Oreochromis niloticus: one gene and its partner. The protein of the gene in region 2 interacts with the protein of the main gene of each other region in a pairwise test. Links are inferred from orthologs where the notes say so. Each region holds a gene or a part of one and is shown on either strand. Other genes may lie near its edges.

Region 1 (3,922 bases), on a different chromosome or scaffold from region 2:
AGCACGGAGTTTCTGTTGAGTTTACTTGTACTGTATGTTTGAACTATATACAAGTTACTGTCATGCAGTATTTCTTTGTTGAGCTTTTCTCATTCAAAAGCACTGGTATGTTTATTGTTCTCTGGTAGCCTTGAATTTTTTGTTTTGGGAGGGGTTTTGTTGTTTTGTTTTTTTGTACTTAAAAGTGTGAATGCTGGTGCAACAAATCACCTTTTTGGGTGCTGCTGTTGTTGCCACGTCACCAAAAAGAAGCAAAAATTTAAAGAAATAAAATGACTTATAGCTGACTAAAGTGATTTTTTTTTTTCTTGAACACAGTAGTTATTGCATATCCTACATCCAGTTTTCAGAAAGAAAATAAGGCTTATTTTAATGTGGTTTGCAAACACTCTACAAACATCCTGCAACCTTGCACAATACACTGCTCCAAAAAATTAAACACTTTTTAAGCAGAATATAACCTCAAGCCATTTAAACTTCTTGAATATTGATGTGGTCAGTTAAGTAGGACAGGGCTGCTAGTTTTACATTTGACCTACCCTGTAGAAGTGGCGGAAGTAGTCCAACTCCACCAGGATGGCACATCAGTTGTCACTGCCAGGTCTGCTGTATATCCTAGAACAGAAGGCCATTCTTAACCCATCAATAGGACCGGTATCCGCTCCGTTGAGCAAGGAAGAACAGGATGAGCACTGCCAGAGCCCTACAAAGTGACCTCCAGCAGGCCACTGATATGAATATGTGACCAAACAATCAAAAACATGCTTTGTGAGGAGGGCCTGGCGTCCTCTAGTGGGCCATGCGCTTACTACACCATTACACCACCAGCAGCCTAAAACATTAATACGAGGCAGGATGGATCCATGCTTTCATATTTTTTTACACCAAATTTGGATGCTGCCATGCACAGCAAAAATTGAAATGTGACTCAGAAATGGAGTGGCACCTGGTGTGGTCTCCTGCTGCTGTAGTGCATCTACTTCAAGATTCAATGCATTGTGCTTTCTGACATGCTCTTCTGCATTTCTTTGTTGTAAAGCCTTTTTTTTTTAAAGGCATTTTTAACAAGGCATTTTCTTACAGAGAACTGCTGTTCATAGGATATTTTTTATTTGTTCAGACCTTTCTCTGTAAACCCAAGACATGACTTTGTAGGAAAATCCCAGCAGATCAACAGTTTCTGAAATACTCGCACTCGGAATATTTTAAATCACCTGTCTTCCCCATTTTGATGCCCAGTTTGAATTTCAGCAGGTCACTAAAAGCACTGCATTTCCATGTGATTGGTTGATTAGATATTAGTATACGCAAGTAAATGAACAGGTGTACCTAATGAAGTGGTGTATGTTTACTAAGATTTGTACAGTCTTACAGAAGTGCAATATTTATTTAAATACCATGAGGTCGCTGCTTGTTAGCATAACAAAATTGCAAGTAAAGATGTCATACACTCACAAGCCTGGAGGTGACGCGCCTTCACCGTAGCCATGACAGAAAGAAGTCAGGGCAGGAGTCATTAGTGCTTTGGCCGCATAAGGTAAGAAACATTGCCTTTTCCATAGTTAATTAGTACTTAGAGGCTTAGGGATCTTATGCAGGGATTCTTAGTTGCGTAGACGAGCTAAAGCGCTGTGTTGCTGCTACAGAAGAAAAGTTAGAGGACGGCCGAGATCCCCAAGAAACCACCGTTTGAGCTAGCACAGCAAGCTAGCCTGGATGGGTTTCCCCTAGTTACTTTGATAGTTACGGAGCTGTCTTCTGCTTTGAAGCTGACTCACGGTTCAGATTTAGCTGCTGTTAAATTAGAATGGAGTTAGGAATACGTCTGACATAGATAAGTAAACTTTTTCTAGCTAGCTTGCTAACTTTTGGGCCACATTGTAGCATGACGTTAGCTACGGTAAGCTGACGTTATGTCACAGGAAACTGTGTACTTTGCTCTCAGGTGATTAGTCATTGTTATATAAAAAGAGTCCCGGGAAAACCACGGTTAACCAAGCTGCAAACTGTGAATGCAGGAAAACGTCATGTTTCTAAGGACAAAATGCAAGTTGCTACTTTCGTTTTTAGCTTTCTGTCAGTATGAACGTGGGCTAGCGGTTTGTTAGGCTTTGTCATGATATTTCTAATAATAAATGTTTGTCACACACTGTTAATGCAGGAATGTAAATGTCTGAGGACAAGGAAGCCCAGGAGGATGAGCTGCTTGCTTTAGCAAGTATCTACGATGAAGAGGAGTTTCACCGGGCAGAGTCTGCACAGGGGGGAGAGATCCAGCTCTGTCTGGAGCTCCCACCAGATTTCAAAGTGGTAGTCAAAGGTACAGCTGTCCGGTAGGCTTTGCACAGAAAGAAAAGTAAGCTGTGGGGGGAAAAAATCTGACAGGTTTCATAATAATAAAGCACTTTTCAGGATGCGTTGGTGGAGATGGGCTAACCCTAACCCTCTGTACCTTAATATAATTTTATTAAGATGGTCCAGATTCCTGAAAGAAATGGCAATGGTGATAAACATGATGAAAGCTTAAGTTAGGTTTAAAAAAGTTACTTAAAAGTTTAAATTATTAGTTTGTTTTATTCAAAGATGAGAGATGGCTTTTTCAAACTGCATGTGGCCATTTAAGATTTCTACATTGATATTTTCATCTTTTCATTTGCGTCCCACAGCATTACTCTCTCCTCCCTCCATCCATCTCATCCCCCCCTCCTCACCTCAAGCCTCATCTGTACTGAAGTCTGGACTTTAACATAAGAAAACTTGCATAAACATACTTATTTATTACTGATATTATCACAGTTAGCGTCAGCAAGTTAGACATGCAATCCTCCCCGGTCTCCATGCAGCTGACAACAAGCTCGCTAAACAACAACATGTTGGACTCAAGTGTCCTAAAAATCCAATTTTCCCTATATAAATATTTGATAACCTTTTCATATCGTATGCGAGTTTGGCCATCCACAGCTAATATGGGGTGCAGAGGGTTAATTCAGTTATTCTCTCCTAATCATGCAGTAATAAAAAATGTAATGAAGTCTCTTCTGTCTATCACAGGAGAGAATAAAACTGAATATAATGTCTCCTTCCTACCTCCTTTGGTGGTCAACTTTGAGATTCCTGCAGACTATCCCTCTACATCCCCACCACTCTTCACTCTCAGCTGTAAATGGATGACCAGAGCACAGGTACGGACTCATAACAACTCAGATAATCCTTTATTATGCCACAAGAAATACTGGACATGTTGGGATATTCATGTTGTGAGTCAACAGTACATCGTAAATATCAAAACCTTTCTCAATGTCACCTCAGATGAGCTCTCTATGCCGACGACTGGATGAGCTGTGGGAGGAGAATCAGGGCTGTGTGATTCTTTTCACATGGATCCAGTTCCTCAAAGAAGAGGCTCTGGGCTTTCTGGGTATCCAGTCGCCTCTTGAAATCATAAGGGGAGGAAGTAAAGCAGGTAATGAGTGAAGAAAACCCGACCGTGCAGTGAAAGTTAGAGCATAGATACCGCACACCACACACTATGCACATTGGGAAAAACTGACTCAAAACATTAGATTTGTTAATGTTATTTAACCTCGCCATGTCTTCTTAGTCGTTAGCTGAAATGATCCACATTCCACTATAGCATAACATGCACACTGTCAGTGCTTTAGCTGCACTAAGCCTAAAATGAACATTTTGGGTGCTTCTCAGTAGCAGAATACTTGGTGCACACATAGTCATCCTGGGTGTGAGGATCTCAGTTTTCTCGTTGTTTTGCTGATGGCTCCCTAACATCTGATTGGTGGTATCCACTTTTTTCCCCTGAAAGTTGAACTGGAAAGATGGAAGGTTGAAAGCTATTAATTGTTTCCCTGTCATGTGCATTGGTACACACACTTGTACACATTGTTCACATCTCAGGCATTTTTTT
Region 2 (3,922 bases):
GAGGCACTGCATTATCCTTTAACCCCATCGCTGGCCATCCCCCCATTGACAACCCGGAGAGTTCAACCACATACTTTGTCACCTGAAGCCCCACGCCAGGCTTGAGAGGAGGATCACCGCACTGTATGCTTCTCTCTATGGTGTGTGTGTGTGTGTGTGTGTGTGTGTGTGTGTGTGTGTGTGTTTGGGGGGGGGGGGGGCTGTGCTCTCTTGATGCTTTATGTAAATGATGCTTAAGCACCAAAGTGCACAGGTGATTCTTTTGAGACGACTGCAAGTGGGATGGAAATATAAGACTGCAGCATATTCATACGCGAGAATAAAAGGGGGGTGTTTACTGAAAGCATAGACTGCAACACAATGCTGTAACATAAATTTAAACATCTGAAGTGCACGACAAGCAGCCTCGTCACTGTAATAACATCACTCTCAGACTTCCTCACAGTGCTGCGCGTGCTATTTGATTTGTTGTTTTTCTTCTTTCGTTTGTTTGTTTGCTGTTTTTTTCCACATGTACCTTTTTAGTTACAGCAACACTTTGAGGCTTCAAATATGCTAAATGTTATCACACGTGGATTTCTTAATGACACAAACTGGCAATAAAGAAGAAGAAGAAAAAAAAAAAACATGCTTGCGCAGCAACTTTTGTGTACGCGTCTGTGTGAATATTTGCACGCTGCATCCGAACTCTGAATTAAGTTCGACCTCACACGGTTGTTTTTTTTTTTCTGGAGGGGACAAAAAAAAGAAAAAAAAAAAAAGGATGCATGCTGCAAAAACTGAGACTCAAAAGTGTTTATTGCTACCCTTCCTCCCCTCTCACCATCCCAACTGATGTGAGCCTTTCCATCATATTTGCATTTCCAGCTCATTTCTAGAGCCAGGAGATCAATATGGAATCAATCATACTGACAGGTAAGATGGTAAATTTGACCAGGCTGAACCATCCTGTGAGACTGAGCGATACATCAAAGCTAGGAGCAACAGGACAATAATAATTTTTTTTAAAAAGGCTTTTAATCAAATATTGATCTCTGCTTTAAATCACTCTGATTTTAAGATATTTTTTAAAAAACTCCAAAAATAACTGACTGGGTCAAAATGGTTTAATGTATTTATTTAAACACTCATAGTCCTTTGCCTCATTTGATTTAGTGAAATCAAGTATGTTTAATTAAGACAGATAACTGAGTGCTCTCATGAATTATCCTTAGCACTTACAGTGTGCAAAAAGAAAAGAAGGCTCCTCCATTAGTGCACTGTAACCTCCCTGAGAAATGTCATCAATACTAAAGGGGGGTGAAAAAAAATCATACAAGAAAAAAGCTGGCCCTTTTATTTTTCTAATACTCTGGTTCCTTCTTGTTTACTGTCTGAAAACTCAAGTTCTAATTGAAATCATGCTACCCCCTGTGGCAAGGACATATAATGAGGCATAGCCTAGTTTTATTTCAGTCATTAAAAAAATAAAATTGAGCTAAAAGCTGTCTAAAATTAAACAGAAATTGGAGTTTTAAAAAAAAAAGGAAAGCAAAGATGAGAGGCTCTTATTTGTGGTTGTATCTTTGTGGTGGCAGCTGTATACCTAAAGTTTATTCAACAGCAGTGTGAAACTCAACCAGGGTGTAGCCTACATTATCGATTCATTTGTTCAGAGGGAGACAGGCTATCCATCACGGCACAGCTTTGCCTTGCACGTGTTAAAAAAACTTTCACTTAACTTTTTTTTCCCCCTCTCTCTTTACCACTGGTGAAGCGCGCCGGTCTCTTCCTGCCCAAACACACCAGCCTCGGTGTTTGGGATGGAGTTTGACACACACACGCGCGCATTTTCACACACTCCTTATAAGAATCAATTATTAAATTCGGCCAAGACAATTGTACGTTTCTGACCGCTTGTTTTGCAAAGGCAAAATGTCTCCCCCTTTCTAGCTCCTGCGCCTTTACGCACGGCCGTGTGTGCGGACATTTAAACCCCCAAAAAAGAAAAAGAAAAATGCACAGCAGAGCTCGCCACTAACCTCGCATTGGTGCAGTCGTTGTAAAGGGTCTCGAAGTCTTTTCTGGAGATGAGTTTACAGCGGTTCACGCCGGGCTGGATGGCGCCGAGCCCTCTGAGGATGCGGACCTGCTCCACATTGCACACAACCGGCGTGATCTCGAGCCGCTTCAGCTTGGTGTAGACCGTATGCAGTCCGCCGACCAGGTGCTTCAGGAACAGGTCGAAAGCCTGAGGAAGGCAGATGAGCTCGCAGCCGTCCACGGTGAAAGAGGCGACTTTGGCACCGCGCAACTCGACCATCTTGCACTCGTTGTTTTGCGGTATGTTTTCAACAGGCGACGGGGTCGAGTACACGGGTTTGCTCGGGGGGAGAGCCGCGGTTGGGGTCGGGATGCCCGGGCTGCTGGTTGCGAGGAGCTCTGATCTGAACAGGTTCTGTCCGGGTCCCGATGGGGGGGCCAGGGATGGAGATGGTGATGAAGTTGTCGACGGCGGGGACGTCGTCGCGGAAGGAGTCGAGATTGGAGGCGGTGGGACCAGAGGGTTTGGTGGGATCAGAGCAGCCGGTACGGCCATGGTCACCTACAAGAGGGGAAGAGAGTAGCCGAAGTTCAAAGTAGAAAACCCAGCCTGCCGAGATACCCCTAAATGAAAGAATCCACGAGAGTTTAGCTCCTCAGATAAGTTGGAAAGTAAAAAGAGCTACCGAAAAAAAGGCGTGCTGAGTGAGGGTTTTTTCTTTTGGGGAGGGGGGCGAGCGGCGGGACAATGATCAAAGATAGGAGGAGGAATGACAGGAGGAAAATGAGCTGAAAAGTGCAGCTCCGCTCTGTGGATGAGTTGTTGTTGTCACACGGTACAGAGAGGGAGGAGCTAGGGGACAGTGGGAGCCTTTGAAGAGCAGATAACTGGGCTCCGGCCACTGCTCGCATGTTTCACGTCTGTTAAATGATTTCATTGCCCAAAGTAAATACGTTTATGCTGGATCATAAGTTGTAAAGAAAATCGTCTGTTTAAAAAAAATGTTTTTAAATCCCTTTTAGCCAACATTAATGCAAAGCTCACTTCACCTATGGCGATCAAGAGTTGAGTAATGTTTTTTTTTTTTTTAACTTTTGCTTTCATTTTCGTGCAAATACTAAAACAATTTTTTTAAACCCTCAAACGCTTAAAAAACAACTTTTAATTCGCACGTTATTTTTGGTAATTTTTGTCATATTTCCCCAGAATACACGCCAATATGAATCACTTTAGCAGACTCCATCTGTGAGGAAGGATGTTTGGTCTTTTTATGTGCACATCCAAAGTGGCTGTAACTTTTTTTCTTGTGAAATATTTTTTTTGTAAGAATTATGTGCAGTTAATTGCATATAAAGCTTTTAAATATATTTTTTAAAAAACCTGTCATGTGAGTTAGGGGTTAAAAAGTTAATGTATAGATTACATAAAGGTAGCATATTTTCTGGTAATTTTGTAAATTGAAGTCAGACAGTAAAGATTGATTTCCAACAGCTTTATATCATCTTTCACTTTAAGTGCATCCACTCAGTTTTATGTACTGTCCATCTCAAACCCCATGATACTTTTCACAGGAGTCAGGTGAATATTAAAAAAAATGTCATGTAAGTTAGGGGTTAAAAAGTTCATGCACTTAAAGGTAAAACCTCAGAAAAGAAACATTTAAAATATTAAACAATATTATAATATTTTAGAACTGAATATTGAAAATAAACCAGTAAGAACACAAAGCCATAAACTCCAGGAAGTGCAGGAAAGAAAGATAAGAGAGAGGGGGAAAATAACAGCACTGCAGAAATGTGCAGGGTCAAGTCCATGTGCAAGTGTCTTGCTGCAGCTCATATACACTTAACTGCACATTTATTTCCAACCACTAAGGTACATCATGAGGTGGAAAACCTC

Evidence for each region.
Region 1: the proteins of dachd (region 2) and rnf14 interact in binary tests that used the Homo sapiens proteins (3 or more experiments, as listed by UniProt). The two-hybrid records come from large-scale screens. The link is inferred for Oreochromis niloticus from reciprocal best matches to the Homo sapiens genes DACH1 and RNF14.

Annotation. Positions count from the first base shown.
Region 1 is NC_031975.2:20,394,142-20,398,063, reverse strand, and holds the start of rnf14 (E3 ubiquitin-protein ligase RNF14), read left to right. Parts: upstream 1-1,380; 5' UTR 1,381-1,537; exon of another isoform or gene 1,538-2,154; intron 2,155-2,161; 5' UTR 2,162-2,169; coding exon 2,170-2,320; intron 2,321-3,051; coding exon 3,052-3,182; intron 3,183-3,309; coding exon 3,310-3,463; intron 3,464-3,922. UniProt on the Homo sapiens protein: E3 ubiquitin-protein ligase that plays a key role in the RNF14-RNF25 translation quality control pathway, a pathway that takes place when a ribosome has stalled during translation, and which promotes ubiquitination and degradation of translation factors on stalled ribosomes.
Region 2 is NC_031987.2:22,932,766-22,936,687, reverse strand, and holds the start of dachd (dachshund d), read right to left. Parts: upstream 2,839-3,922; 5' UTR 2,579-2,838; coding exon 2,022-2,578; intron 1-2,021. UniProt on the Homo sapiens protein: Transcription factor that is involved in regulation of organogenesis. Seems to be a regulator of SIX1, SIX6 and probably SIX5.